4 linked regions of the Notamacropus eugenii genome follow. The main gene of each other region encodes a partner of the protein of the gene in region 3 in a complex. Links are inferred from orthologs where the notes say so. Each region holds a gene or a part of one and is shown on either strand. Other genes may lie near its edges. The genes, in order: DRC12, EFCAB2, GAS8 and TCTE1.

Region 1 (6,907 bases), on a different chromosome or scaffold from region 3:
TAATGCCTGTTCAGCCTCTCTCTTAGCAGTTTTTGCCTCTCTTTGGCATGTCTCTGGGGAGCCAGAGACAGGATTAATGAGGAATATGAAGGCAGCTGAATAGAGTCTGCTCAGTGGCCTGTGGGAGAATCTGTCCCCTTTGCACTTTCCAAGATACAGAATACCCTTAGATGCCTCACCTAAAAGAATGCTGCCTCATCCCTTCATTCTTGTCAAACTCAGCTCATTTGTCTAGCTCTAGCCCTGCTATATCCCATTCTCAGAACACAGACTGATCAGGTACCCATCTAGGACACAGAAATTCATACCTACCTAACTCTTTCTGAAGGACCTTTACTTTCTCTTCCAGCTGATGTCTCTGTGTCTCAGTCTCTTCCCTCAGGGCATGGTACTGACGACTCATCTCTTGGGGTATGGGATAGTAGTAGGAGGTACTCCCAATAAGGAAGATCATAGAATTAGAATTGGAAGAGATATCATTGGCCATCTAGTCTAATCTATACCAGAACAAGAAACTTCCCTGCAACATACCAATTTGTCACCTGGTTTTTGCTTGAAGATTTCTTGTGAGAGAGAACATATTACTTTCCAAGGCAGTCCATTTTACTTTTCAATAGATCTAAATTTTAGGAAGTTTTTTCCTTATCACAGTTAAATTTGCTACTCTCAAGCTTCTACCCATTGTTTTTAGTTCTGTCTTCTGTAGCCAAGAAGAACCAATTTAATCCCTTTCATGAGATGGTTCTTCAAATATTAGAAGACAGCTACATTTCCCCTAGAAGTTGTCTTCAGGCTAAAAATTCCCAGTTCCTTCATCTGATCTGATCTTGAGGTTCTTCTCCATCCTGGCTGTGCTCCTCTGGAGATACTTTCCAACTTACATCCTTCTTAATATGTGGTACCCAGAAATGAACATGGTACTCCATATGGGGGATGATATTATAGGAAGTTGCCTTGGGAAACACCTTCCCATGGCTTGTTTATGATATAGAAAATTCTGCTTGTAAAGTCACCCAAAAGATGGAAATTTATAACAAATAGAGAACAGAAAGACAACCAGATCTTCTGTCCCATTCCAGATCTACAATCACTGTGGGATGGAGGGGTTATGAACCTTGAGACATCCCTTTCTAAGATCCCACAAGAGCCTCATCCAATTTATGCTGAGTGGAAAAAGCTCAAAGACAGAATTGGTGATAAATTGTCCTATAGTCTGAGGCCCCTCCTGTCACCTGCATACACAGCCTCTCCATCACCTCGAGCCTCCTCCACCTCAGCCTCCAACTCCTGCAGCCTCACTCGGAGCAGTTCTCTGCAAGCTATGGCCTGGCGAGTCTCATCCCGTCGAAGAGCTAGGGGTGGCACCAAATGAAGGATGAAGTCCTCAGCCCATAAAGAATATCTCATTCTCCCAGGATACCTCCCACCCACATGCACGTGTGCACACACACACAGACACACACTCACACACACGCACACACTGCTATACTCCTCTCTTCCCTACTCCTGGAGTCTCCAAGTTCTTATTTGCCCAATGTTTTAGAGTTTTCCCTGTTTCCCCCAGCCCTGAAGTCTACCAGTCACTCTTTTGGAACAAATTTCTTCTCTGCTCTGGCCAATGGAAAATGGCATCCTCATCTCTGTAAGGATTATAATTAACTATAATTCTAACCTTCATTACCTAGACTTTTCACATAATTTCCCATAATGATCTATTTAGCTAGGAACTACTTAGGAGCAACTATGGAATAGGTATCACCTCCACTCTCCAAGGAGTAGGGGAACTTCCTCTATTATTCCCTTACCCAGATGGTCACGGAGGATCTCCACCTCCAAGGCTGTTCTCCTGTGCTTGATCTCAACATCGACATCTGTCCTTGGCAAGAAGGAATCATAGGATTATAGATTTAGAGCTAGAAGGAACTTTATTATTTTCCAACTCCCAAATTTTATGATGAAGGAACTGAGGTGAAGTGAATTTGCCTAAGGTTACACAGCAGTTCAAACAAAACTCACATCTTCAGACTCCTAGTCCATGACTCCTTCTATATTACAAAACAGGAAGTGAGGGACAGTTTCATGGAAACCATATAAAGGCCTAATCTATTATAGCTTCTCCTTTGTCATTCTCCTCCACCCTCAACTCCCATGTTTAGAAACCTTTTTGGGGTTAAATCTAAAGGTTGTGGGCACTTGCAGGTCCCTCTGGAGCTGGTGGTACAGGAGTGTGAAAGAGCAACAATTGCAAAAGTTGAGTAGTTCAAAATAGGCTAGGCTGACCCAGAGGAGATTCTGGATCCCTGGTGATTCCAGGAGAGCCTGCATTTTGTTTTCATGTAGAATCTTGGTCCCTGGGAGCAGGAAGAGATGGAGAATGGATCTTCAATTAGAGGAAATGACACAAGTTCATCTTTCCCCATCCCTGGGTACCATTGTTATAAATGAAGGAACCAAGGCCAGGAGGAAGAAATAGGCTCGGACTGGATTCCACCATGGGGAAGGGGGTCAGGACTCTAAGGGATGCTAGGTGGACAAAGCCTTCAAAGACACCCGCATTGTTCCCACCAGCCTCTACCCACCTCACTCACCTTGATTCTTCTTTTTCTTTTTCTGTCCCCCAGCTTTTGATCCTTTTCCTTTGATTTTTGGTGGCATCTTGGTGTCCTAGAGGAGGAAATGGGCACATTGTGTTCAAGTTCTGGGTCCTAAGGAGATGCCCTCTCTACTCTCATTTTAAGGTGACTATCTGGTAGAATAATAATGGGTGATCAGTCTGTGTAGCTTTCATCCACTATGTAAAAAAGGAATACCTTTGGGTCCTCTTTTGGAGAAAGTAATTCTTTGTATAAGGTTAGCTTTGTGCCTGCCTTTGCCCCCTCTTTCTCTGCCTCCCCTTACCTGTAGGTACCTCCTCAGATGTGCCTCCTATTTCTTCTGTGGTGTGTCTCCCCAGAGAACTCATGTTGAAAGGCAGTAGGATGGCCCAATGAGCTGGAAGACCAAGGAAGGGGCTGGATTAGGGCAACCAGTACAGATCAGCAATGTAGGGGGTGGAGATAGTGGAAGGAAGGTTGAGTGTCTGGGCTGCCTTCTGTCTTAGCAACCAAGAAACTTGGGAGTTGTTTGTAGGAAGACAGAATTAACTACTGATTTAGATTAACTTCCTGTTCTCCATGTATCTCCTTCCCCTATTCCACATCCCAGGGGGAACTGGTGAAGAATGACTTGGGGAAGATTGGTCCAGATTTTTTTGGAGACCATAGATTCGGAACATCATAAATGTTAAAATTTTAAAAATAGCTTTATTATGCTGATGATGGCAACAGTAATGATAATTATTTGGCATAATTCCCATAAGATGAAAGGTTTGAGCTAGAATATTCCTTTTTAATTTTGCTATCACTTACTTTTATGTTACCTTCCTTTTTCTGAATACATTCTTACCCTACCCATTGAGTCATGTAACAAAGAATAAAAAAGAAAGGAAAAAAGTTCCACAAAAGTAACCAAAACATCTAAATATGATAGTATAATATGCAACATACTTACAACCACAATTCCCCACCTCTGCAAAAAAGGAGGTTGAATTTTTTCATCTCTTCTTTTGGAATAATCTTCTACCTCTAAAATGACATATTTTTATTGCATTTTTTCATTCTTTTATCATTTATTTTTGATTTTGTTTTACTTTTCACTGATATACTTTTATTATAGCACCTTCTTCTCTCAACACATCTCTCTCATACTCAGAGAAGCAACCCTTTTTTTTTTTTGAGGAGTTAACAATCACTTTATTTTTTTTCTTTTTTTTAAAATTAATTTATTTAACTTTTAACATTCATTTTCACAAAATTTTGGGTTCCAAATTTTCTCCCCATTTGTCCCCTCCCTCCACCCCAAAACACCAAGCATTCTAATAACCCCTATCACCAATCTGTCCTCTCTTCTATCATCCCTCCCTTCCCTTGTCCCCCTCTTTTCTTTTGTCCTGTAGGGCCAGATAACTTTCTATACCCCCTTACCTGTATTTCTTATTTCCTAGTAGCAAGAACAGTACTCGACAGTTGTTCCTAAAACTTTGAGTTCCAACTTCTCTTCATCCCTCCCTCCCCACCCATTCCCTTTGGAAGGCAAGCAATTCAATATAGGCCATATCTGTGTAGTTTTGCAAATGACTTCCATAACAGTTGTGTTGTGTAAGACTAACTATATTTCCCTCCATCCTATCCTGCCCCCCATTGCTTCTATTCTCTCTTTTGATCCTGTCCCTCCCCAAGAGTGTTGACTTCTAATTGCTCCCTCCTCCCATTGCCCTCCCTTCCATCACCCACCCTGCTTATCCCCTTCTCCCCCACTTTCCTGTATTGTGAGATAGGTTTTCATACCAAAATGAGTGTGCATTTTATTCCTTCCTTTAGTGGAATGTGATGAGAGTAAACTTCATGTTTTTCTTTCACCTCCCTTCTTTTTCCCTCCACTAAAAAGTCTTTTGCTTGCCTCTTTTATGAGAGATAATTTGCCCCATTCCATTTCTCCTCCCAATATATTTCTCTCTCACTGCTTAATTTCATTTTTTTAAGACATGATCCCATCCTATTCAATTCACTCTGTGCTCTGTGTGTGTGTGTGTGTGTAATCCCACCCAGTACCCAGATACTGAAAAGTTTCAAGAGTTACAAATATCGTCTTTCCATGTAGGAATGTAAACAGTTCAACTTTAGTAAGTCCCTTATGACTTCTCTTTGCTGTTTACCTTTTCATGCTTCTCTTCATTCTTGTGTTTGAAAGTCAAATTTTCTTTTCAGCTCTGGTCTTTTCATCAAGAATGCTTGAAAGTCCCCAATTTCATTGAAAGACCATTTTTCCCCCTGAAGTTTTGCTGGGTAGGTGATTCTTGGTTTTAGTTCTAGTTCCTTTGACTTCTGGAATATCCTATTCTATGCCCTTCAATCCCTTAATATGGAATCTGCTAGATCTTATGTTATCCTGATTGTATTTCCACAATACTTGAATTGTTTCTTTCTAGCTGCTTGCAATATTTTCTCCTTGACCAGGGAACTCTGGAATTTGGCTACAATGTTCCTAGGCGTTTCTCTTTTTGGATCTCTTCCAGGAGGTGATTGGTGGATTCCTTGAATACTTATTTTGCCCTCTGGTTCTAGAATATCAGGGCAGTTTTCCTTGATAATTTCATGAAAGATGATGTCTAGGCTCTTTTTTTGATCATGGCTTTCGGGTAGTTCCATAATTTTTAAATTGTCTCTCCTGGATCTATTTTCCAGGTCAGTTGTTTTTCCAATGAGATATTTCACATTATCTTCCATTTTTTCATTGTTTTGGTTTTGTTTTGTGATTTCTTGGTTTCTCATAAAATCATTAGCCTCCATCTGTTCCATTCTAATTTTGAAAGAACTATTTTCTTCAGTGAGCTTTTGAACCTCCTTTTCCATTTGGTTAATTCTGCTTTTTAAAGCATTCTTCTCCTCATTGGCTTTTTGAACCTCTTTTGCCAATTGAGTTAGCCTATTTTTAAAGGTGTTATTTTCTTCAGCATTTTTGGGGGTCTCCTTTAGCAAGGTGTTGACCTGCTTTTCATGCTTTTCTTTCATCTCTCTCATTTCTCTTCCCAGTTTTTCCTCCACCTCTCTTACTTAATTTTCAAAATCCTTTTTGAGCTCTTCCATGGCCTGAGCCCATGGTATATTTATTTTGGATGTGTGGGATACAGAAGCCTTGACTTCTGTGTCTTTCCCTGATGGTAAGCATTGTTCTTCCTCATCAGAAAGGAAGGGAGGAATTATCTGTTCACCAAGAAAGTAACCTTCTATAGTCTTATTTTTTTCCCCTTTTCTGGACATTTTCCCAGCCAGTGGCTTGACTTTTGAGTTTTCGAAGCAACCCTTTTAATAAAAATTAAAAAGAACAAAAAACAGACTTCAGCAAAACCAACTACCACATCAACTAAATCCAACATTATATGCTGTATATATTGTACGGATATAATCCCCTTGACTTTGCTAATATTGAAGGAAAATAAATTTTCTCATTTTTTTCTTTGGGGCCAAGCTTGGTCATTATAATTACACACTGTTCAATTTAAATCTTTTTTTTTTTTGTTGTTGTTCTTTCCATTTATATTTGTAACACCCACTCTGAGTTACCTTCCCAGAAGGCCACCATTACCATCAGTTTGCAGGATACTCTGGGTTTACACTGTTGAAATTATAGTTTAAGAACTCTCACCAATGAGCTTTTCCCTTAACTTAGTCAGTAGATACAAGTAGCTCAAAGAAGGTGCTTTTACTAAGATAAAGCAGTAAAAACAGTAGCTACAAAACATTGACCCTATTTTTTTTTTTACAAGGCAGTCAGAGTTAAGAGACTTGCCCCAAACCAGTGCTTTAGCCACTACGCCACCTATCTGTCCCTAAAACATTTCCATTATTAAACTAGGGCACATATACCTACAAATACATATAGCATACACGAAAAGAATAGGCACAAAGTACAATAGTAGTGTAGTCAAGGCAACTTCATGCTCTCAATATTTGTTCTCCATGTGGTTTTCACACTGCTTCCCCTTGTGCACAGCATTTCTTCCTGTTGCTCAACTGGACTCTCAGGGTCTATTCCCCTCCCTAGCTCATGTCCATTTCCAGAACTGGTTCTCTCTTGAATTCTTAGTCTTATTTCTTTTGCTGGTAAAGTCCCATTCATTGAACTGCTTCCTATCTCCAGGGAAGGCAGGACTTAGTAAGCTAGCATTTTAAAGGTGATCAAGGGCATGGTTAATGTGTTAGCTAATGGTAAACTTCCTCTCTATGTACATCAGGGAAAATTTCACACATTTTGAAAAGGGGTAGCAGTGTTAGCATTTTGTTAACACATTAACACCTAATTATTTGTG
Region 2 (6,986 bases), on a different chromosome or scaffold from region 3:
GTGTTCTCTTGGTAACAAAAATAGCTCCCAAACATCCAAGATTAACCTGTTCAGTTGCTGACAAATCTCTTCCCAAAGTATCTACTTCTTTTAGTGTTGCTAAATAAAGTAACCAAACCAGGTTCTATTTCCTGCTTCATTGCCATCTAACTGTAAGACTTAGGGAAACTCATTTAACCTTTACAGCCAGATTCCTTATTTATAAAGGAAAGGGAATAAACTAATGAAAATCATAACTCATGATTCTATAGTGTTTTACAGTTTTAAAGTACTTTCCTCATAAAAGCAAAGGGAGATATGAAGCGGTATTATCATTATTCTCATTTTACACAGGGGAATTAAGATTCAGACAGGCTAAAGAACTTGGGACATAAATGATAGAGATGACATTCAAACCCAGGCTTTTGATTCCATATTCATCTTTCCACTGAAACATGCTGAATGTAAATCCCCTTCCATTTCTAAAATTCTGCATTCCAGTTTCCTAAAATAGCTGAAAAATTAATAAAAAAGTCAGTCATTCCTTGGGATGTAGTATGTACTTTCTAAACAGCATCACTGAAAGCTAACGTCACTTATTTTAGGAAAAGTAGCATAGTAATATTCATAAATTTCATAAGCATGTAAACTCCTGCTCTCCACATCGACAGAACGAACTATGGATTCTGAATGCAGATCAAAGACACTATTTCCTTTTTTCTTCCTTTCTTGTGGTTTTCCCTTTGATTCACAACATGACTAATGTAGAAATGTTTAATATGACTGTACATGTACAGCCTGCATCAGATGGTATGCCATCTTAGGGAGAGAAAACATTTCCAACTCACAATCTTATAAAAGTGAATGCTGAGAACTAAAAACAAAGAAATAAAAATTTTATTGTTCAAAAAAAAGAACGTAAACTCCTCGAGGCTGCAGCCTACCTCAACGCCGAACCCTGCTACGAATTTGTGTCTCAGCCGGCGCTCTGTGGCCCTGCAGGCCGTACAACGTACAGACACCTGGCTCAGGTTCGGTTCTCCACAGCCCGCCTGCAGTCCACAGACAGGGGCCATAGGCTTTCCCTTTCTAAGGTCCAGTTGCTTTGCCAGGACTTTTCTGAGCGCAAAGCATTTCTCAACCTCCGCAGAACTAGAGCAGTATTTACGCTATACCGGAAGTGATGTTGGAACCGCAATACCAGGTTCCAAACGGTCAACATGCATTTATAAATACCTGCTCTATATGGCAGGTATGGCTGGGGACACAGACAGGCAAAAGAAGGTTCCCTGCTCCTGAAGCTTGGTCTGAAGCAGAATCAGGGCATATTATTTATCCCTGTCAACAGTCATATTGAAAATACACGAGGAGGGGCTTAGTAACCTAAGACTAGGCTTTTAGTACTCCACAGGGACTTCCTAAGGCCTACTATGTGCCAGGCATTGTGTCTAATAAGCCTTGGGGACAAAAAGGCAAAAACCAGTCCCTGCTCCCAAGGAACTCAGCGTTTAAACGGAGAAACAACGAGCAAACAGTGATGTAAAAACAAAATACTGACACAATAAACTGGAAAAATTCAAGTTGATGCAGGAGAATGTGGGGGAGGGGTCCAGGTTGGTCAGATTCTGGCTGAGGAAGTCGCGGTTTTTGTTGTGGTTGCTTTAACGTACGGGAACGTGGTGACTGCCGGTTTCAGGGGGTCTCTGCAGCCCCGCGGGGCGGCTCCCCTCCCGTCTGAGGCCCGCGGGCCCCGGGCTGGCCTCGCCTTCTTCTCCAGGGAGCCTCAGCTCCTCAGACTGAGGCCTTTATTTTTATTGTGTGGGGAACCCCCCGGGGCTTGAGAAGAGAACATGTCCGCTTGCACGCGGCTGCAGATGGGGGCCGCACGCAGCGAGCTCAGCCCGGGCCGAGGTGGGGGAGGGGGAGAGGGAGGCGGGCCTGCTGGGCCCGAGGCGCGCCAGCATCCTCGGGCCTGCTTGCAAGGAGCGCCCCGGAAAGGCAGCCTCTCGGGCGGGCGGTCCCACTTCATGGCCAGGCTTCCCGAACGCACTTCCTTGGTCATGATCGCGGTGAGAGGTGGTGTGGGGTGTTTTTTTTTTTTCTCCCCCCAAAATGAATAAATAACTGTCTCCGGCCTGGCTCTTTCTTCCTACGCACAAGCCAGGGCCGGGGAGAGGCGCTTCATGGTGCAGAAGGGGGAGGGAACCGCTGCAGCCTCTTCCTCCCGCCCTCGCCTCCCCGCGCCGCGGGAAGCAAAATGGTGCCGCCAACGGTCGTCAGGCAGAGAGACAAGGGAGGCCCGGCGCGGCCGCGTGGGGGCGATGGGAGGAGGAAAGAGGATCCAGGAGGAACCCCGCCGGCCCTAGTGGGCGGACGCAGCCACCTCCATCCCTAATACAACCACCGGGACACCATCTTTTTGTCCCCGAGCCCCGGGCGGGGGCGCTCGCTACAGTTTCCCGGAAGAGGAGGAGGGGGCGGCGGGAGGCGCCGAGGCGTAGCTCTCGGGCACCGCGCCTGGCCTGGGGGAGGGGAGATAAAAGAAGCGGGGGAGGATGAGAAAAAGGAGAGGGGGAGGAGAGCCGACGTATCCCTCCCTCCCCTACTCCCGCGCTGGGCGGGGCCAAGGTCACCGCCTTCTCCCCCCCTCCCCCGTGCACGGCACCCATTCCCCTCAGCGGGTGGCACGTCCAAAGGGGTATAGGCAGGGGTATCCTCTAGGGGTGCTTCCTCCAAGGCCTCTGGCAACGCTCAGCAAGCCAGGCCCGGCCCTTCCCTTCCATAGGCGGTTTCCTACCTCCGCTGTCTCTATCGTCCGCCATCTTGTTGCCGGCCCGGTCGCCCTGGAGATGCCAGGTGGCGCTGGGCGGCGGCGGGAAAGAAGAACTGCCTGGATCTGAAGGGGAAGGGGAGGGGAGGGAAGGGAGAGAAACACCATGCCCAGCCCCGCCGCGGCCCTGCGCCGACTTCCAGAAGGCAAGTCCTAGCCGTAAAGGAATGGGGAGGCAGGGCCGTGGAAGACGTGGACAACCCCCCCCCCACGCAAAAGACCCCTCCTTGGGAACTCGGCGCCCCCGCCATAAAAACGTGGGCCCCGCCCTAGAGCCCCAGAACCTGGAGTGTTGTTAGACAATTGCCGCCAAAGCGCTCTCTTCCCGCCCTCCACAGGGGGGACCTCCCTCCTCCTATTCTCCCGCTCGTTTCCTCCCTCCCTCGTGCTCCCTGGGAACGGCTGCGTTTTTATTGCCAGATTTAAAAAAAAAGGGGGGGCGGCTGGAAACGTGCAGGAGGCGCGGTGGGATCGAGCCTGGGGCCGCCCTTCCCCCCAACCGGAGGCGAGCGGCCCACGTGGGGCGCGCGCGGGGGCGGCCCCTCCCTCCCGGGCCCGAGCGAAGCAGCGGCCGCCAGCAGGCCCTCCCCGCCACCATCCATCCCCACCCATGCTCCCTTCCCCGAATAGCCGGGGTGGCGGGGGCCTTCAAAGCACCCCTGGGCCCGGAGCGGGACGAAATGGGCCTCGAGGCCGAGCAGCGCCGGCTGTAGCCCAGGCTCCCGCTAAACCCTGGCGGCGGCGTTGTCGGGGCTGCGGCGTCAGGCACCAGCCGGGAGGCAGAACCCAGGGTTCTCCTGGCAACAGCGCGCCCGGAGTGCCATGCGCAGCCTTCCATAGGGCCAGGCGATGGGGCTTTTTTAAATTCTCCGTCACGTTCTCCTGCTGCAGTTGCTGAGAAAACTTCAAGCTTTTTTTTCTCCGACATTTGCCACTTAAAATGCCTCTAATCTTGAAACGTGGTTCCAAAGCTCGGTACGCAGGGTTTCTTTTTAAAGGCTATTGAAATGCTGTGCTCGATCCATTTGATTTTTTTTACAATTTCAAGTGAAAAATAAATTCACACTGCCCTGATTGTATTGTTCGTACTAAACAAAGGGTGGCCCCTTGGTGAATTGCACGAGCCGGAGGTCGCGCAGTAAAATAAGTTGGCTGCATTTTTTCTTATTGACATACTAAATCGTATTTTTCTTGGAAGGATTTCTGCACAATAAGTATCTGCAGGCCCAGAGCTCGCTAGGCCAATTTGTCATTGAACCTGAAACTAACCAACCCGTGTTGGGAGGAAGTCCTAGGACTGCATGGTGTTCTCAAAAACTTAAATTCAGATTTTTTTTTGTTACTTCGGTGATTAAAGATGACGCAGGTAAGTTTCACATGTCAAACTGTGCCTGTTTTGTCATTTCAGTCCAGTAATATAAGTTCCCCATCACACACTGCCAATATAGATTCAGAATAATTGACAAATTCAGTTTCCCTCCTAGGCTTACTACTTGTTGATAATATTTACATAGGAAAAGGTCTATCCTACAGATTCTCCCTTGTTAGAATCAGTGGCATCAAAGGCCAAAATCCAGTTTAGCAGTAACTAGATCTACCAAGGAGGTCAGTTTTCCCTCTCCCTGGAGAAACTTTTCCTGGACTAGTAGCCATAGTTTACAGATGGACATAAAGAGGAATAAACTTGAAAATTTTCACATTGTCCACCACATTTGAGGTTGCATGGAAGATCAATGAAATCCTTCCTAGTGGAGCAAATTGTCTAGGGGACAAGTCCTAGTTACAAGTCCTCCTGCAACTACTGGAGAATTTTTTGTGGTTGAATTGGGAGCTCTGGACTGGAACCAAAGTTATCGGATTTATTTCCTGAAAGAATGGATTACCTTTTGCTTTCAGTTTCTGCATATGAAGTGGTGTTCCTAAATACTTATCGATTACTTTAAAAGAATTATATGAATGTTAAAAAAGCAGAAGTAAAGATGATTTTTAGCTTACCTGATTCTTAGCAAACTTTAATTCCTTGAAAATTGTTTAATGTTTGACAGTTTGAAATTTTACTTTTGAAGAAGCTCTTGTTTATATTTAAATTTACTCGGGTCTGCTACTGAACTTATAAATCAGTTCCTTGGCTGCAGTAAATACACAATTGTTTCCCAATTGTCTCTGGTTGTTAGGCCTTACAATTAGAAGGTAAGTTCCCAAAAGGCAGGAACTAAGTCTTATGTTTGCTTTGTATTCTTTCTGCACCATCAGCTTCCAGCCAGATACCTAGCAGGTTCTGAATAAATAGAGAGCTTCAAGGGACCTTAGACAGCAGCTATAAACTCATACTTAATAAAGTTTACAAAGTACTTTCTCTAACAAACTGTGAAGATCGGTTGACAAAACTGGAGATGTTTCTTCTGGAGAAGAGAGCTCTCCTTGGGACATTATAACTATTTTGAAGTATTATTGATGATCTTGTTAAAAAGGACTTAGACTTGTTCTGCTGGACTCCAGAAGACTAAAGCAATAATTAGAAGCTGCAGATAGGCAAATTTAGGCTTGCTCTAGGGAGAATCTTCCTAACAATTCAAGTAACATCGTCCTGGGACAACAGCAACTAAAAATAGTATCTCTCCTTTGCAGGGTGAATTCTGGAATTTCTCTATCCGATTCTAGAAACCTCTTCACCCTGGACGTTCATTCCAGCCCTGGACTTCACAAATTGAAGTACCCTCTGCCCATGCAGACCTTCCTTCTCATTGGCTGGTTCCTCCCAGTACCTCCATTTTTAGGAGGACACACAGGCTCACCACTCCTTTATTCCTCTCCAGGCTATACTGCTGACTCTCTAGACTTTTCTGTGCCCCTACAACTGGTACCTTCATTTCTTCTCATTCCTTTTTCAGTTTCTTTTTATGTATTATTTTCTTCCACTAGAATATAAGCTTGAGAGCAGGAGATTGACTTTCTTTCTGTTTATATTTGTACTGCTAGCACATGGCACATAGTAAGTATTTAAGACATGCTTGTTGACTGACTGCTCACTGCATCTGGAGGAGCTGAGGACAAAGTAGATTATCAAATTCAGTCTTTTAGGGCTCTATAGGAGGTCCAACAGAAGGCTGGACCAAGTCTATGAGGAACTTTATGAGGACTCCGGGAAGGAGAGGACTCCAAGAAAAGAACTCCCAGGATCTATGAGTTACTCCTTTGCCATATGTGAGTTCTAAGGTTGACCCCCACTTTCCCTGGACTCAATGTACTTATCACAAAGTGTGCTCTTGGTTTGAGAGTGATGCTTTGTACCAACTATTCTGCCTATACACTTTAGTAAGTATCTGTTTCTAAGAACTTTTTAGAAAATTATTTTATTCTGAATTTAAGAAATAAAACAAGCATTTCTATAACATAATAGAATAGGGAAAAAAGATGATTATACATGAAACTGCCAATCTATTATGTAAAATTTGCTATTCCTTTAAAATATATGAGGTATCATATAACTTTGTTTATTCTCCCTTTTTTCCTTCCCTTTTTCCATCCGTAATTAAGTTTGACAGATAGCAAGTGAGAATCTGGAGGGGATGGGTCAGCTATATATAGCATTTTTAGCTACAGCATTAAAAAACACCCTTCAAGATCCCCAAGACCCCTGAGGGGAGAAATAGTATCTTCCAGGGGACTTGACTTGCAAATGTGAATGGAGGTTGGGATGGTAAACCTAGACTCTAGTAGAGGTTAACTTGTGGTCCATGATATCATATTTTAATAACTATAATATAACTAAGTTTCTTCAGAATACTTTTTTGTTTTGTGCATCTAAAATGTGATTCTGAGGAGGAGCCTGCAGGCTAATTCAGCTGGCTACATAGAATACTTGTTGTAAGCAGCAAAGGAATATGTATGTGTTAAGTGTTAATCAAAGACCCCAAAGATTACAATACATTTAGACAAATCATTTGTCCTCTCTGGACCTCAGTTTCTTCTTCTAGAAAATGAGAAGGTAGAACTAGATGATCTCCAAGTTCCCTTCCAGATCAATATCCATGATAATAGAGTCCTCCTACCCAGTAGACCACTTACTCTTCCCTCTCCTTTGTTAAATTGTCACCCATAATCAAAATCCTTGCATATCCCTTAGGGCTTCACTTTGGGTCCCTTTCTCTTTTCTCTCAGCCCTCTTAATGATCTC
Region 3 (7,735 bases):
AAGCGGGTCCAAGAGGCTGAAGGCTCCGAGATCCGCCCTTGCAAACAGCCAGTCTAAGCCTTGCCAGGACGGTATAGGATTTATGAGTCGCTGCATATGCATGGATCAGGCTTGCGTGTATGTACAAAATGAATGCATGTCTCTGTGAATAACAACTCTTTCTTCTATGTCCTTTCCAGTGCACTTTCTAGTTTACAAAATCCTTTCCATACATGATTCCCTTTGAGTCTCAAGACAACCATATAAGATATATGGTCCAACAAGATGTAAGGCTGGAAGGATCATAGATCATGATTTTAGAGCTGAAAGGGACCTTGGACAGCATTTAGTCGTCATTTTGGAGATAAAAAACTTCCGGTCAAGAAATCATCTTAATTTAAGTTCCTTGGGAATAGGGATTATTTCATTCTTCATACTTGCATGCCCAGGTCCTAGGTCAGTGCCTGGAATACAGCAGGCACTTAATTAAATGCTGGTGAATCGATGGACTTACCCAAGGTCACACACAAGTAAGTAGTTAGGAGCAGAACTGGCATTCAAACCCAAGCCTTCTGACTCAAAATTCAGGGCTCTTTCCACTACCCCATGTTGCCTTTCCCATTTTACAGATGAAGAAACTGAGGCTCAGAGAGTTTAAGTAACTTGCCCAACATCACACAGCTAATGAGTGACAAAGTCCAGACTCAAACCCAGATCCTCTGCCTTTCTAGATCTAATAATAATCTTTCTGCTTCCAAATTGTCTTTACACAAATGGGTCTGTCTGTCTAGAGGGGTAATTGCCCTTGAGGACCCTGGCATTTTGTGTACTGGTTTGCACCATTCTCCTTAGGTTAGATAGCCCCAACCACGTTATAAATGGTGACAGGCCAGAGATGATTCCTCAAATTAGATCTAAAGTCTTGGCTCTGCTCACCTGCAGCCAGCTGCCTGTTATATAACTTGAACACTGAGACAAGGATCTGCTTTTTTTTTTTTCTCCAGAACAAAATGAGATGATATATAACCCTGCTTGTTCTTTGAAGATTCGTGCCTGTGGCTGTCACAGCATTAAATCAGAGAGATGGTGGAAAGAGCCAGAAGACCATCTGTAACATCCAAGTAAGGGGGTCTATATGTGTCTTTAAAAAAAAAAGGCCAGCATATTCTCATCACCTCTAATTAGTCTCCCCTGATACTTGAAATCAGAAATTCTGTTTTCTTGCTTCTGGTATCTGGCCCAGATTTTAAATCAGAAATGCTCTTTCCCTGGTATCAGGCCCAAAGGTACCCTCATTCTACCAGCTGTCAAAAAGATAGCCCAGCAGGGATGGCCCAGAAGGCAAATGCCACCAATCTGGAGACATCAGCAAAGTGGTATCATGTTGACCCTTAATAAGCCCCAAACTGTTCTGGTAGCTCGCTTGGGTAAGGCAGGATAAGCTTTTCTCAGTGGGTGGTTTCTTCTCTTTCCATTACAGTGCACCAACCATGGAGTTGGCATGTGACGCTTTACAGTTTACACATCTTAATTCTGACCTTTCACTCACTAGAGCTCCATTTCTAAAGATCATGTCAAATCCTTATAGCACCCCTGGGTGATAGATGGGACATACCTCCCCCCATTCCCAACTCTGGGCATTTTTCTAGACTGTGTCCCATGCCCAGGATGCTTTCCCTCCTTTTCATCTTCATCCTGTCTTCCCTGGTTTTCTCAAGACCCTGCTAATATCCCACCTTCCAAAGCAAGACTTTCTGGATTCCCTTTAATGCTAGTGACTTCCCTCTGACCATTAACTCCAGTTTATCCTGTCTATGACTTGTTTGTACATATTGTTTACATCTTGTCTCCCCCATTAGATTGTAAGCTTCTTGAGAGCAAAAATATTTTCAATAAACACTTATGGCTCCCTATGAACCCTTGGGATCAAATATAAAAACCTCTGTTGGCATTCAAAGCCCTGGCTCCCTCCCACCTTTCCAGATGTCTTATACCTTAATACCTTACTCATCCCCCACATCCTCTGTAATCCAGAGACACTGGCCTTGCTGTTCCTCCAACAAGAGGTTCCATTCCCCAGTTCAACTCATTTTTTCACTGGCTGTCTCTCATACAGAGAATTCCTTCAAGTCCCCCCTAAAATCCTTCCTTCTACAAGAAATCTTTCCTGATCCCCCTTAAACTAGAGTGGATACCTTCTGCTGATTATCTCCAATTATCCTGCAATTTATCTTTTATATAGCTTGTCTGTACATAGTTGCTTTCATCTTGTCTCCTCCATTACAATATGAGCTCTTTGAGAGAAGGGAATGTTTTTTGCCTATCTCCAGTACTTACCGTGGGGCCTGGCACAGAGTAGGTGCTTAGGTTAGGATTGACTGACTGCCATACCAGATCTATGCTTTTACCAGTGGTGGGAACTCCCTCTACCCAAGTAACCCCATCTGTAACGTAGAGTAAGGGACTTGCCCATGATGACATAGTTAGGAAGTATCAGAGGCAGGATGTGAATCCGGCTCTTCAGGACTCCAGGAACAGCTATACTGTATATGTCACAGAGAAATACAGTGTGCCAGCTTCATGAATTTCAACACAAACAGCAAGTGTGTGTACGCACCATTTGTGATCTTCATTGGTGTACTCTTCAACCATGGCTTGGACCCAGATCCACAGATTCCATTGGTCTGGTCGTGCTACTGAGTCATAAAAGAAGCACTTTGGACAAAGTACAAGACTCTTCACCACCAGCAGAGTTGTGGTTAGTAGCCCTGCGGTGTGTGCTCAGAAAGATACATTTGTTTAGGGCAGTGTTAAAGCTGGGCCTTTGGTAAGTGAACGTGATGGATCTAAGAGGCAGTCTTCTGGTCTTCCTTCTAAACATTGGTTGATTTGGAATCTTAGCCTTGGGGAGAAGGAACAGGAGAAGGAGGAGGAGGAGGAGGAGGAGGGGAAGGTAGTAATGGAGGAGGAGGAGGAGCTCGTGGGAAGGGCTACACCAATCAAACTGCCTTGATTCGTGCATTTACATCCTGATGGGTCCCCCTTTAAAAAGTAGTGATTCATTTATAAGGGGCAACTTGGTCTTTGTGATGTCTGATGGTGTCACCATGTCTTATGCAGTCAGAAGCCCAAACAAGGGGCCGTTACTGTGCCAACTTCTGGATGCCAGGGTCTACTTGGCATGGCAAAAGGAGTAGCTCTCTCTCTCTGGAGGACTGGTGGCAAGAGAGATGGTGCAGCTGGAAATCTCAGGGAGCTAATTATTGTTATTACTTAACACTGACTTAGCATCCACAATGTGTTAGGTGCTTTGAGACTGACATACAAAGAATTGGCCTTTTGTTTCAAAAAATCTGCCATGGAGTCCCTATTTAAATGATAAGGACAATGAAAAAGAACCCCCCCCCCCATGGTAAGTGACTCTTCAGCTTCAGGATAGCTAGGGTTCTAAATTAATGTGATCACAGAACTGTTGGAGAGGTTTATTTTGTTCATATCAATGTAGATTATAGAAATTAATATATCAAGAAGCTTAGGCAAGTCTAGCTCTGAGACTCCCCTTGGATCCAGACAGGGATCCTACAGGGACCTCTCTGCTTTTCATATTGGGTTTTGGTTCAGAATGTTAAAGAAGATACTTTATTCACACTTGTAGAGATCAGAAAATTTTATCTGGAATAGAACTGGGATGCTCATATGTTAGTATCCAGAAATCTAGATAAATACGAAATATCCCTCCTTCAATTCAAGACACATTTTTTACATACCTACTGATGTGCTAAAAAATAGGCTACAGAGATCATGAATGAAATAAAGGTGCACAAGCTGGGTTAGCTTGTCTCTTAATCCCTCAGGCCAGACTCGCCACCCTCATCATCAATTCCTTAGCTGAGACCCTCTGACTGGTTTAGTTTCTGACACAGAGGAAAACTACTTGGTGCCTCAATCGTTTCAGGCTTTTGTGACAAATCTCTTTGGCTCCACTTAGGTCTAGTAAAAGAACTGAGAAGGCACTGAGGGATGGGGAAAGCAGGATAGTCATTGGTATAGATCAGGTCAGGAGAGGCTATGTGATGAAGCCCAATAAAGGAAAGTCAAAACTGGTGGCAAAGTAGGAGAGTGAGAGTTTCCTGTGCTAGGAACACCTTCCATTACCCTTTTTTGGCTCATTGATACAAAAATGAATATGCCATGATCTCTGTCCTTAATGATTTACACAATCATATAGAGTGCATAAATGACATGCACACTTCACTAGAGTACTCTTGCAAGAATAATAGGTAGCATTTATATAGTACTCTAAGGCTTACAAAGGGCTTTACAAATATTTCATTTTATCCTCACAATAACCCTGGGTGGTATTATCACCCCCATTTTACAGATGAGGAAACGGAGGCAGTCAGCAGTTACAGGACTTGCCCAGGGTCACACAGCTGGTAAATGAATAAGGCCAGATTTGAACTCATATTTGGTCCAATGTTCTATCCAGAGCACCTCTTGTGATATCTTATCATAGTGTGGAAGTGACTCCTGTGTCCTTGAAGGCTAGGCTGTGTGAGGGTAAATTGTGGCAGGTCTCGTCAGCCTAGAAGGGTCATATTGTATTGTAATTGACTGAATCTATTGTCCAAGAACCAAACAAGCTAAATATTCGTCGCTGGATTGACTACAGGACAGAGGGCATGGGGTTTGAGCTGGTGGAAGGAGTACCAACATTGATGAAGTTATCAAGCCTTGGAATACTGAAGTAATCGTGTGCGCACACGCACATGTTTCCGCACACACTAGATTATTAGTTTTTTTGTGTTTTATGTCATCTTTGTGTCCTTAGAGCCTGGCCCAGTGCTTTGCACATAACACACATGCAACAAATATTTGTTTTATTGAGTCAACAAAATAGATCTAGTACGGGAGGTGAGAGCCCAGCTTTGGGCTTCTTTAGACTGATGATTTAAAGTCTCATTTACCACCCACCCTCTTTCATCTTTCCCAACTGTGACAGCCTAGCAGTTGTTCCTGGGTCACCCCAAGCATCTCAGGAGCTGGAATTTTCTATCGTGGTCAGATTTCCTCCTTTATTACAAAATTCAGGTCAACAAACATGTATTAAAAAAATTTTCTCTGTGCATGGTACTATACAAGGAACTGGGGATTCAAGGAAAAAAAATGAACCATTTTCTGTCCTCAGGGAGGTTTGAGTCTATTGGGAAATACACTGTATACAAATAATCTGAGACTAAAGAAGGTATCAACAACTTGGAAAGGTGGAATGTGATCAAGGAAGGCTTTGTGGAAGAAATAGGACCTGAGCTGACCCTTGAAGGAGGGAGGGATTATATTCCAGGCTTGGGAGACAGAAGTTAGAAGTTTCAGAACCACTGGATTTTCCTTAACTTTGTTTCTGCTGCAGTACTCGGGTAAACAGGGCGTATGTACTGGTAAAATGTAAGGCTCCTTCCTGGCCACATCCATCCTGCTGAGGCACAATTTTAGAACCATAGAAAGGTTCCAAGGAGATCTGGTCAAAAGTTCTTGCCTTTTGTAGAAGGCCTGAGAAAACCCAAGATGATCCATTCAGAGTCTAGTTGGGTAATTGGACCCTAATGCTAAAAATCACCTGTTGTGTGGTTCTCTTTGGGAGTGTTGCTAGCAGAAGTTATGACCTTCCTGGTGTATAGGTGTGGTGCACCTTGGGTGTACCCTAACACCTGCATCCCAGTGAAATCAAACTGAAATAAATGTCAAAGGTGACCTCAAGAGGGAAGAAAAAGGGAAGAGGTATCACAGTAAGGCAAGATATGTGCAAAGAAGGAAAACAAGCTTGCCAACAGCTCGTCCAGTCCACAGAGATTTGCCATTAGACCCTGGTTTCCACCCAGGAAGGTGTTGAAGGATGTTTCTAGAACCAGAGCTGGGTTTCAGGAGATCTAGAATAAGCTTCTTTGCTCTTCTATCCCCTTCTTTTTGTCCTCATTTCACATCAAGCTCTGTAGTTTTCCAGAAGGACCTTGCTCTCTGACATGACCTTTACTCAGAGGAAAACCGCAGTAATTCTGCCCTGTGGGACATTCTCAAAAGAGGCACTGGGAGGGAGAATGGGTGTATATTGGAACATTCACAGTATCATAGATTTGGAGAGTTGGAATTGACTGTAGAGGACATCTAGACTCAACCTGTACACAAAAGGAATCTCCAAGATAACATGCCCCAATATTCTCCAGTTTCTTCCTGAAGTCCTTCAAGGAGGGGAAACCTACCACCTCTCTGGGCAGTCTACTCCACTTTAGGGCAGTTCTAATTGTTGGGAAATTTTTCCTGAATTTGAGCCTTTCTATCTATCTATCTATCTATCTATCTATCTATCTATCTATCTATCTATCCATCCATCCATCCATCCATCCATCTCCATCTATCTATACCTATTTCTGTCATCTGTCTATCTTTCTCTCTCACACTCTCTCCATTCTACCTTGCATTGTACATAATCACCAAGAAGAAAACATAATATCCTTTCTTGCTCCCATTTTAATCCAAGGCGTGAGAAAACCATTCAGTCTTTCCAGTGGGTGTTATGAAACATGCAACTGAGTGACTGGCACCAGAGGTGGCAGAGCCCAGAGCCCATAGTTCTGGGCTCTAAGTAAGGGCTGGGGGGGGGGGGGGCAGGGAGGGAGGAAGCCCTCATAACAGTTCTTGTAATCCTGTGGATCCATGCCAGGTTTCCCTGTGCAGTTCTCCTATTTTCTGCTCCAGTTCTGCTTCCCCATCCTCCTTTTCTCTCAGCAATCTCTGCCAGGGCAGCCTGAGGCATGGGCCCAGACTATCAGGGCAGCCATACTCTTCTGCCTGTCCTCCACGATCTGCTGCCACCCAAGAGTGGTCTGGGTCAGCCAAGCTGGCCACAGAACTACATTCTATATACGAAAACAAAGAAACTGGGGTGAAAGGGGATGGGGAGGAGAGAACGAGGATTCTAAGAAAGGGAAGCCAGGGGGGAATGAGACCAGCTAGGTGGCCCTGGGAGAACTGCAAAGGTGGGTGGGGGCTGGTCTTGGGGCCCGCGGGGCCCGCTGCAGAGAGCCAGCCTGCTGGTGCGGCTCGGGCACACATCGGCTCTAAGGCCAGGCCGCCTGCCCGGTCTCTTCAGCGCTCGCCAGCAGAGAGGAGGGCAGCGGGGCCAGCGCTCCGGGCCTCTCCACGTCCAGCCTCCACCTGTCTTCAGGGCCTGAGCGCGCTCTCCCCAGCCTCCGTCCGGGGAACAGGTTACACTCGCCCTAGCCACAAGGCGTGGGGCCCCGGCCCTCGGCTCCTGTCCCCTCCGCCCTCCGCCCGGGCAGCCTGCCAGCCTGGCTCTGTCCCGCGCGCACCCGGCCACACGCGCGCGCGCAGCCGGCCCCCCCACTCGCGTCCCTCTCACTTTCTCTCCCTCCCTCTCCTCGCCTCTGCTCTCCGCAGTGCCTCCGCTCGCTCGGGCTCCCTCTGCCCGCACCCCGCCTAGCTCATTTGCAATGCGATGCTTACTTTGCGGCGGAGGAGCCGGCGAGTAGTCGGCCGGCCGCGCACGGTCTGCTGTGGCACGGCGATGTGCGCTCCTGCCGCTGGCGCAGTCGCTGCCTGCTGCAGGGACGCGGAGGCCGGGGCCGGGGCCGGCCGCCCGAGGGAGGAGGCTCCAGCCGCCGCCGCCGCCCTGTCCTCGTCCTGCCGCTGAGTTAGAGCCGAGGGGCGGCACCGAGACCCACACCGCCGGCCGAATGGA
Region 4 (7,868 bases), on a different chromosome or scaffold from region 3:
ACACTCTCTCTTCCCCTTATTTCTCCAGGTCCCATTGACCTCCAAGCAGCTTGAGGCAGTGGAGGAAGCTGTCCGAGAGGCTGTGGAGAGGGATGAGCCTGTGTATATGGCGGAGGTGGCTCTGGAGCTGGCCACCCAAGTTCCAGGCTTACGCTCTCTTGATGAGGTAAGAGGGAGAGGAAGAAAGGGAAGAGTTTAGTAGAAGGCTCAGAAATGCTGCCTCCTTTTTGAGGGGAGGGTTTGTAATGTACCTGCTCTTCCCCTTGCCACAGATATACCCTGACCCTGTTCGGGTGGTGTCTGTGGGGGTACCTGTAGCCAGTGCCCTGGCCCCCACCTCCCAGGCTGCACTGCACACCTCTGTAGAACTGTGCTGTGGCACGTAAGTCATCCCCTCTCTGTCCTATTGCCCCTTGTGCCTTAGGTTCCTCTTGGTCATGGTGTTCCCACGTGGTTCCTTTCACCAATGCTTCCCCACATTGCAATGTGGGCTGTAGGCTCTGGGTTCTTCTCCGGAATGCCCGTCCCTCTACCATCCCCCTTTCCTTTGCCCCAGGCACCTGCTGCGCACTGGGGCCATAGGAGACCTGACTATTGTGGGGGAACGACAGCTATCCAAAGGCATCATCCGACTGGTGGCTGTCACTGGGGAGCAGGCCCAGCAGGTCAGTGATCACCCAGGAAGAAAGAGAGGGAAGGACTCCTTAGCTGGAGGAGGCAGGCTGGAGAAAGCACACACACGCTGGAGATTTTCAGTCCAGGGGGAGCCATAGCCAGGTATGAGGTAACCTTGGAATCACTGTGACTAATAGACCCTTTTTCCATCTGCCAGGCCCGTGACATTGGCCAGAATCTGGCTCACGAGGTTGAAGCAGTTGCAGCTCGAATGAACCAGGGGAGCCACGATGTTGGGGAGGCTCAGCGTTTGTCAAAGGATGTGGGACGGCTCAGTGATGTGAGGACCGCATCCTTCCCTCTGCTCTTCCCACTGTATTATACCCTTTTTCTTGTACCAGCCCAAACCCATTGCAGGTCTCCCTGTCTCATACTAAGAAGCTTAACAGGTTGGCCAGCAGAAGGACCAGGCTTTGTATTCTGTGTGGGAAGGGGATGGAGTGGGTGCTTTGGGCCTGGGCCCTGCCTCTGCCCAGGAGCACTACAAGCCTGGGGATGTAAGTATGATGTTGCCTTTTCTGGCCACAGACAGTGGACACAGCTGTGATGCCCCAGTGGCAGCGTCGAGAGCTGCAGATGGTCCTGAAGAGACTGCAGCGCCATGCCAACACTGCTGTCCGAAAACTGGAGATGGGACTGGTAAGGGAACTCTCTGTACAGGGCCATGGGGGCTTGGAACGTGCAGTGTGACAGCCACCCAGCAGGCACAGCTACCAGAACTGGCCCATATTAGTCCAGAGCAGTTAGACAGGGCAGGAGATGGGAAAGCTAGAATTGGGTCAGAAGGAAGAGTAAGTCATTAGGGAAAACTTCCTGAAGAAGGATGTGGAGCCAGGGCAAAAGGAAGAAAGAGGCCAGGGCTTAGGGTTCTCAAAAGGCAGCTTGCTTCAGCCAGGCGAGGACTTGAGTGGAAGGTCTGGCTTTGGCAGAACACGAGGGCTCAGCCTCTCCGAGTCCTTGTGTCACTTCTCAGTCACCCTCAGGTTGAAGGAAGACACAGGTAGGAGGGCTGAGGTACCCATGTTGGAAACTCAGGGAAGGAGGGATGTGTGGGGATTGTCCACCTGCCCTTCCCCTCCTCCTGCCACACACACACACACACACACACACACACACACACACACACACACACACACACACACACACACACACACACACACACACACACACACACACACTCACACACTCACACACTCTCTCTCTCTCTCTCTCTCTCTCTCTCTCTCTCTCTCTCTCACACACTCTCTCTTTTTGTTTTCCCCACTCCCTTCTCTGTTCTCCAGGCCACAGCAAAAACGCAGGAGTTATTGGAGAGAAACCCTGTGGGGCCTTTCATTGTTGACACAGTCCCAGCTGAATCCCTCTCGGTGTGTTGTAGGGAGCAATCACAGGACGGGGGTCTCCTAAGGAAGGAGGGAAATGGAGGAAGTGGGTGGGTTTCAGCAAAAGGGAAGAAGCTGGGACAGGGAGATGAGAGAGTTACAGTGGGGATCTTATTGAGGGACTGCTTTGTGCTTTACTGGAGTCAAGAGGATACTAGGGAAAAGGCCTGTAACAAATAAAGGAGGGGCCATGGGGAGGCCTGGGGCCACAGTGGCTCTGGCTGACTCTCCCTCCCTTTCCAGCTGCTAGTGAAGGTGGTGAAACAGCTGTGTGAGCAAGTCCCTGGCACTTCCGTGTTACTGCTCAGTCCGCAGGCCCCAGGGAAGGTCCTGTGTGCCTGTCAGGTGGCTCAGGTGAGTGGACAGGGAGAAAGGTGTGGCACCATCCTTCCTCCCATCTCTCCCCACTTGGTTGAATGGTTAAAGTGAACATCACCACCATGCCCCCGCCCCCCCATCTTCTGGCATGTGCTTCATTCATTCTCTTCTCCAGGAAAGGGATTCACACATATACCAGGGTACAGAATTTCTCCTGTTATTAAAAACAGTGCCTGCTCAAGGGAAAGGGTATTCTTCAGTCACCTGTCCCAGTATAGAACAAGTATTCTCATGTTCTCTTCCACTTTATGATTTGAAGCACTGTGGCTACATAACTTAGCAGGGACAGAGCCTCTGGTCCCTGAAGCTCTCAGCCTTGCAAACCATCGTAAATCACCCATCCACTGGGCTAAGTAGAGCTTCCCTTGTCTTCCCTCCCCCACATGCCCTGCCTGTCTCATCCCCAAGAGCTTTCTCCCTGGCTTCTAATGTGATTTTCCTACCAACTACAAATAGCAGCTACTACCAGTAGGTTCAGGTGTCCAAGACTCCCAGAGTGCTGTCTGCTGGTGGGGAGGGGAGTAGTAAGGTCAGTTCCTGTCTGCTTTTTCCCTAGGATGCAATGCCCACCTTCACTGCTGAAACCTGGGCATCGGTGGTATGTAGCCACATGGGAGGCAAGGCCTGGGGCTCCCGAGTCGTGGCCCAGGGAGCAGGGAACACTGGTGACGTGGAGGCCGTGCTGAACATTGCCCGATCCTTTGCTCTCAGCCAGCTCTAACCCAGGACTTTTGGAGTGAAGAAAAGCAGAGCAGCTCAGTAGGACAGGAGCCAGAGGCCCCAGTGCCTAATGACTAAGAAACCAGAGACAAAGACAGAATCAGGAGCATAAGAAAAGCCATGACATAACTATCTCTTGGTCCTTCATTGGTGCCCACTTCCCCCTTGTGGGGAGAACTTGAACAGTGACCTTGAGAGGACCCACCTCCCACCCCCCACAACCAAGGGAGGATGAATCTGTGCAGCCTAATCCTCAGCCATGGTTCGCAGGAACTCAGTGCTGAAGCTATGGCTGCCTAGTAAAAAGCACTTTGTTAGGGGACAGACAGCTACCAAAAGTTACTAGGAAGAGGAAAGTTCTTTCCTTCCCCTCTCAGACTGCTCAGGGGTCTCAGTAGTACCTGTGTCCATCACTCCTGCTTGTTCCTCAGGCCTGGCTGGGTGAGGTTTGGGACTTGGGACTGAGCCTGGGATCTGAGACCTCTGTCACCACTGATGCATGTCTATAGATGGCATCAGACCTGAGCAAACAACAAGGATGAGCCCAGCCCCCTTGGTCTCCAGAACTAAAACTATAAGGGTCTTGAGTCCCTAGCAGTCTGGAAAAGCTCAGACCAGATAGGAGATTAAAAAGCATTTCTGCCTCAGGGCAGTCCGCTGAGTCCCTCCTTCAGAAACAGCCTGGAAGCTGTCCTCACTAAGACATCCCAGGTCACAACAGGACAGACCGTGGTGAAATGATACCCTGGCTTCTTCCCTCAGTCTAGGCGTCTTTTGCTTGTCTCCTGGCAGCCTTTTTCAGACTTGACACCAAATGCTTGGGAAACTGGGCATTCTCTGGAGCCTTAATGAGGGAGAACGGAGCCAGCTAGTATGGCTCCCCCTTAGAGGCCAGGATCCCTGCAACTGGATCTGGATTGATGACTGAGCATCAAAATTTAAAAGGGCCACCTGCCTCCTAGCATCCAAAGATGTAATTTATAGGTCTCTCTTTCTCAAATGGAGCTTGGCCCCTCCATGGTGCATTCTACTTGACAGCTGATTTCTCATTTTAATTAAGATGTTACTGATTTATTGATTAATTACTGCTGTGAGACCAGTCATCTCCAAAGTTCCCTGTGCCTGGCTCCTGTGTTGTTTACTCCTGCCCTGCCTAAGCCTCTGGGGTTTCTAGGTCTTCTCTCAGGGCCAGGTTCCTCCTCCCTCCCTACCTCATTAAGGACATGAGCTCATTGGGGGAAGGGGGCACTGAAAAAGAAGGAAAAGATGCCAGGATTTAGCCCTCCCTCCCCTGTCCAGCCAGATAACCCACCTCTTGGGCCACAGCCTTACCCTTTAGAAAATGGGATGCCACAAGAAGCAGAGACCACAGCCTCTTTATTCCTGTGTCCCAGAGGCTGAAGACCCTAGAGGGACTGGGTGTGGTCGAGTGGAGAAGGGACCTGGGGCTTGGGGTTTACCACCTGCCTCCTTCATGTAGGGAAAGGACTGCACAAAGGAGCCAGGGTGTATTGTGACTGCTGAGGCAGGGTGGGGAGGCAAGATGCACACACCTGGTGAAGGAGCCCTGGTTATGGAAATTATTCCACAACTTCCCCTGAGGTTGGCCAGTGTGGGGAAGAGCAGGGGTTGGGGTTAGTAGGTGTAGTATTCCATCTCATCTGCTGTGAAAGGAATCCTAAGGGACCCTGGCAACACCCAATTTTCTAAACCTTAATCACATCTTAAAGGGGATGGAGAAGTGAGAGTTTTTATAGTCAGCCCCTCACACACAAAAGAATACATTATACACAGTCCCATAGGAAGCATGGAAGTATGCTCAGACAGAAACAAAGCATATATGTGCACACTGCACATATGTGTGTATACATCACACCACACACTAAGACTGGACAGACTGCGCAAGCGCTCACACATACAGGCACACACACCCTCGCTCTCCTTCCCTTACCAACAGCCTGCGTGCATAGCAACCAATGCAGACAGCCTTCCGGTTGGGGGGGAGGGGAGGTGTCTCCATGGAGACAGAGCCAGGCAGAGGGTCCCAGCTAAACTGAAGACAACCAAGGCAGCTGGTGAGGAAACCTTGGGATGGGAGGCTGACGGATGTCCTTGTGCCCTGCTCCCCTCTATGCCCACGTCCCTGTTGTTCACTCTGCCAGATCTTCTGCACCCCCTCCCCTCCTGCCTACCCCTCAGTGTCCCCCTGGATAAAAGAATCCTACTCTTCCCCCTGTCTCCACCTTTAACTCTCCAGTCTCTTCCTTAGGATGGCCTTTTATGACTTACTGTCTGTGGTACAGCTTCACCAAACTGATCCCTCTTCCCTGTGGAGGAGAAGGGGGGAGGGAGGCCTGGTAGCCCCAGCAGTAGCCACTTGAGACCTCACCCCACGGCTGAAGAAAGATGCCCGAGTTCCCTTGTCCCCAGGGAGTGGTTATTGACTTAACAGTGTCAAGGGGAGGACTGGGCTGCCTATGAAAGGAGGAAGGAGATGGAGAAAAGGTCCTAGGGACATCATTAACAGTCATGCGTCTATCCTGTGCCTACTCTGCTTCTGCTTCCCTTGGGACAGAAGCCCCTTTGGGAAACCCAGACTTTCTTTTCCCCACTTCCTTCCCTGCAGTCTCTTTCCCTTGACTACAGAATAGCTGCTGCATCCTTTTCTCCTCACAGGATGGGTGGACAGGCACTGCAGTGACCTTTAGAAAGCTGAGAAGAGAAGCCCAGTAGGAATTATCAGTATTTGAGACAGAGTGAGGAAGGTTAAAAAAAAAACAACAAAAAACCATCATCATTCATTTTGGGTCAGTGCTGGATTTGAGCCTGCTGAAGCTGCAGGCAGGTTTGAGCTTGAGCCATAAGCCTAGAGGACAGGGTAAGCTGTATTCACGGTGTATCATGGTGGAGAGGGGCTGGGAGGGGAGGCAGGAAACCTGAGTGTGTCTCAGCTGTGTCCATTTCTAGCCTGTGACCTTGCAAATCATTCAGCTTCCCAGCCTGTTGTCTCATCATCTTTGTGATGGGAATTAGACTTGTACTACAGACACTGTTGTGAGGAAAGCACTTTGTAAATTCTGATGTGTTGTATGAAAGTGTGTTGCTGTCACTTTTATGAGCCATTTTGCTAGGTTGAAAGAGACCAAGCCCAAGCATTCTGGGGAGTGGAAAGGGAGAACAAAGTAACATGACATAGCAGAAAAGGCACTGGATTGTGAATTGAGATCCTTATTGGACCAGCTGTGTAACCTTAGGAAATTCACTTCCCTTCTCTGCACCTCAGTTTCCTTATCTGTCAAATGGGAGTAGTGGGCTAGATGAAGATACTTCCCATGATTCCATATGTTCCTCATTCCTGCCAGCCAGAGATTCCTTTCTACCCCTTGTTCTACTACTCTAAAAAATAAGCGTTAACTTGGTGAGAAGCCTTAGGCTGCATCCCATGTGCCTTGGTTGTCTTTTCATCAACTCCCACCCCCAGCACAACCCTCCCCACAAGTTATATTGATTATTTCGTCAGATCCCAGCTCTACCTGGTTATACTGTTGATAGGAGTAGAGACCACTAGTGGTACAGTGGATAGAGTGGTGTGCCTGGACTTGGGAAGTCCCAAGTTCAAATCTGCCCTCTGACACTGGGTAGCCACAGGACCCTGCACTAATCACTTAGCTTCTCTTTGCCTCAGTTTCCTCAACTATAAGATAACAACACCTACCTTTCAGGGTTGTTGTGAGGATCATATGAGGCAATATTTGTAAAACACTTAGCATGGTAGCCAGTACGTAGTAGATGCTATAGAAATGCTTCTTCTGTTCTGCTAATGTTAACCCAATTGCAGTCAACTCTAGAAGCACCTAAATTTGCCCCTTCTCTTCCTTTCCCATGATGATATCTTAAGGGAATTAGGCAAGGAAACAAATTTAGAGGATCTAGCCATGTTTAGCACATGGAGGTTGCGATACAGGTGGGACATCCAAGTAGAGATGTCCAGTAGCACATTTAAAATGTGGGAGTAGGAATTGGGAAAGAGATCAGGGCTGGAGACACAGGTTTGGGATTCATCTGTTCAGAAGTGAGTAGGTGAGAACAGATGAGACAGGAAGAACCAAAAAAGAAGCAATTAGAAAGGTAGGAAAGTCAGGAAAGATCATAGATGGAGAGTTGAAAGAACCAACAAATCCAGCCTTTCATTTTACAGATGAAGAAACTAAAGATAGGTTAACTGATTAAATAATGGTCACATAGGTGTCAGGGACATTTGAACTCAGGTCTCCCTGACTTCAAGTACAGTGTGCTAGGTGATTTCACAGCAGTGTCAGAGAAGCCAAGGAAGGAATATTAAGGGAAAAGTCTGCTGAATCTCACAATCAGGAAGTTGTCAATGACCTTGAAGACAGCATTTTTAGTAGAGTGACAGAGCTCAGATTTTAAGGAGATAAAATATGAGAGAATGTTGGGGACAGCAGAGGCTTCAATGTATGAATGTTTGTAGTGAGAGAGGAATGAACCACTGGAGAGAAAGAGAATAAAGATATAGTTGAGATACTAGATAGTTGCCTGAACAAAGCTCCAGAAAAATCAATTAATATGGAGGTCAAAGGCACTGAGTTAACCTTAGAAATGAAAAAGAAATACTTCCTCCTCTGAACCAGGTGAAAAATCAGGTAATGAATGGAAAGGGAGGGGGCTCAAGCCTATTCACTTCCATTGTCC

What was found.
Region 1: GAS8 (region 3) and DRC12 share a complex: the UniProt entries of both Homo sapiens proteins name them as parts of the nexin-dynein regulatory complex. The link is inferred for Notamacropus eugenii from reciprocal best matches to the Homo sapiens genes DRC4 and DRC12.
Region 2: GAS8 (region 3) and EFCAB2 share a complex: the UniProt entries of both Homo sapiens proteins name them as parts of the nexin-dynein regulatory complex. The link is inferred for Notamacropus eugenii from reciprocal best matches to the Homo sapiens genes DRC4 and DRC8.
Region 4: GAS8 (region 3) and TCTE1 share a complex: the UniProt entries of both Homo sapiens proteins name them as parts of the nexin-dynein regulatory complex. The link is inferred for Notamacropus eugenii from reciprocal best matches to the Homo sapiens genes DRC4 and DRC5.

What each region holds. Positions count from the first base shown.
Region 1 is NC_092876.1:279,606,055-279,612,961, reverse strand, and holds the start of DRC12 (dynein regulatory complex protein 12), read right to left. Parts: upstream 3,014-6,907; 5' UTR 2,963-3,013; coding exon 2,899-2,962; exon of another isoform or gene 2,811-2,898; intron 2,665-2,810; coding exon 2,589-2,664; intron 1,877-2,588; coding exon 1,806-1,876; intron 1,353-1,805; coding exon 1,233-1,352; intron 406-1,232; coding exon 313-405; intron 54-312; coding exon 1-53. UniProt on the Homo sapiens protein: Component of the nexin-dynein regulatory complex (N-DRC), a key regulator of ciliary/flagellar motility which maintains the alignment and integrity of the distal axoneme and regulates microtubule sliding in motile axonemes.
Region 2 is NC_092873.1:406,147,676-406,154,661, reverse strand, and holds the start of EFCAB2 (dynein regulatory complex protein 8), read right to left. Parts: upstream 3,005-6,986; 5' UTR 2,802-3,004; coding exon 2,777-2,801; intron 1-2,776. UniProt on the Homo sapiens protein: Component of the nexin-dynein regulatory complex (N-DRC), a key regulator of ciliary/flagellar motility which maintains the alignment and integrity of the distal axoneme and regulates microtubule sliding in motile axonemes.
Region 3 is NC_092872.1:708,012,854-708,020,588, reverse strand, and holds the start of GAS8 (dynein regulatory complex subunit 4), read right to left. Parts: upstream 3,017-7,735; 5' UTR 2,600-3,016; coding exon 2,597-2,599; intron 1,101-2,596; exon of another isoform or gene 984-1,100; intron 118-983; exon of another isoform or gene 1-117. Other genes in the region: uncharacterized protein, read right to left, coding at 6,759-6,893, 7,501-7,735; DBNDD1 (dysbindin domain-containing protein 1), read left to right, coding at 7,731-7,735. UniProt on the Homo sapiens protein: Component of the nexin-dynein regulatory complex (N-DRC), a key regulator of ciliary/flagellar motility which maintains the alignment and integrity of the distal axoneme and regulates microtubule sliding in motile axonemes.
Region 4 is NC_092873.1:107,791,025-107,798,892, reverse strand, and holds the start of TCTE1 (dynein regulatory complex subunit 5), read left to right. Parts: upstream 1-4,862; 5' UTR 4,863-4,962; coding exon 4,963-5,230; intron 5,231-5,831; exon of another isoform or gene 5,832-6,033; intron 6,034-7,868. Other genes in the region: AARS2 (alanine--tRNA ligase, mitochondrial), read left to right, coding at 29-166, 273-382, 557-665, 833-955, 1,204-1,314, 1,959-2,042, 2,301-2,411, 2,992-3,156. UniProt on the Homo sapiens protein: Component of the nexin-dynein regulatory complex (N-DRC) a key regulator of ciliary/flagellar motility which maintains the alignment and integrity of the distal axoneme and regulates microtubule sliding in motile axonemes.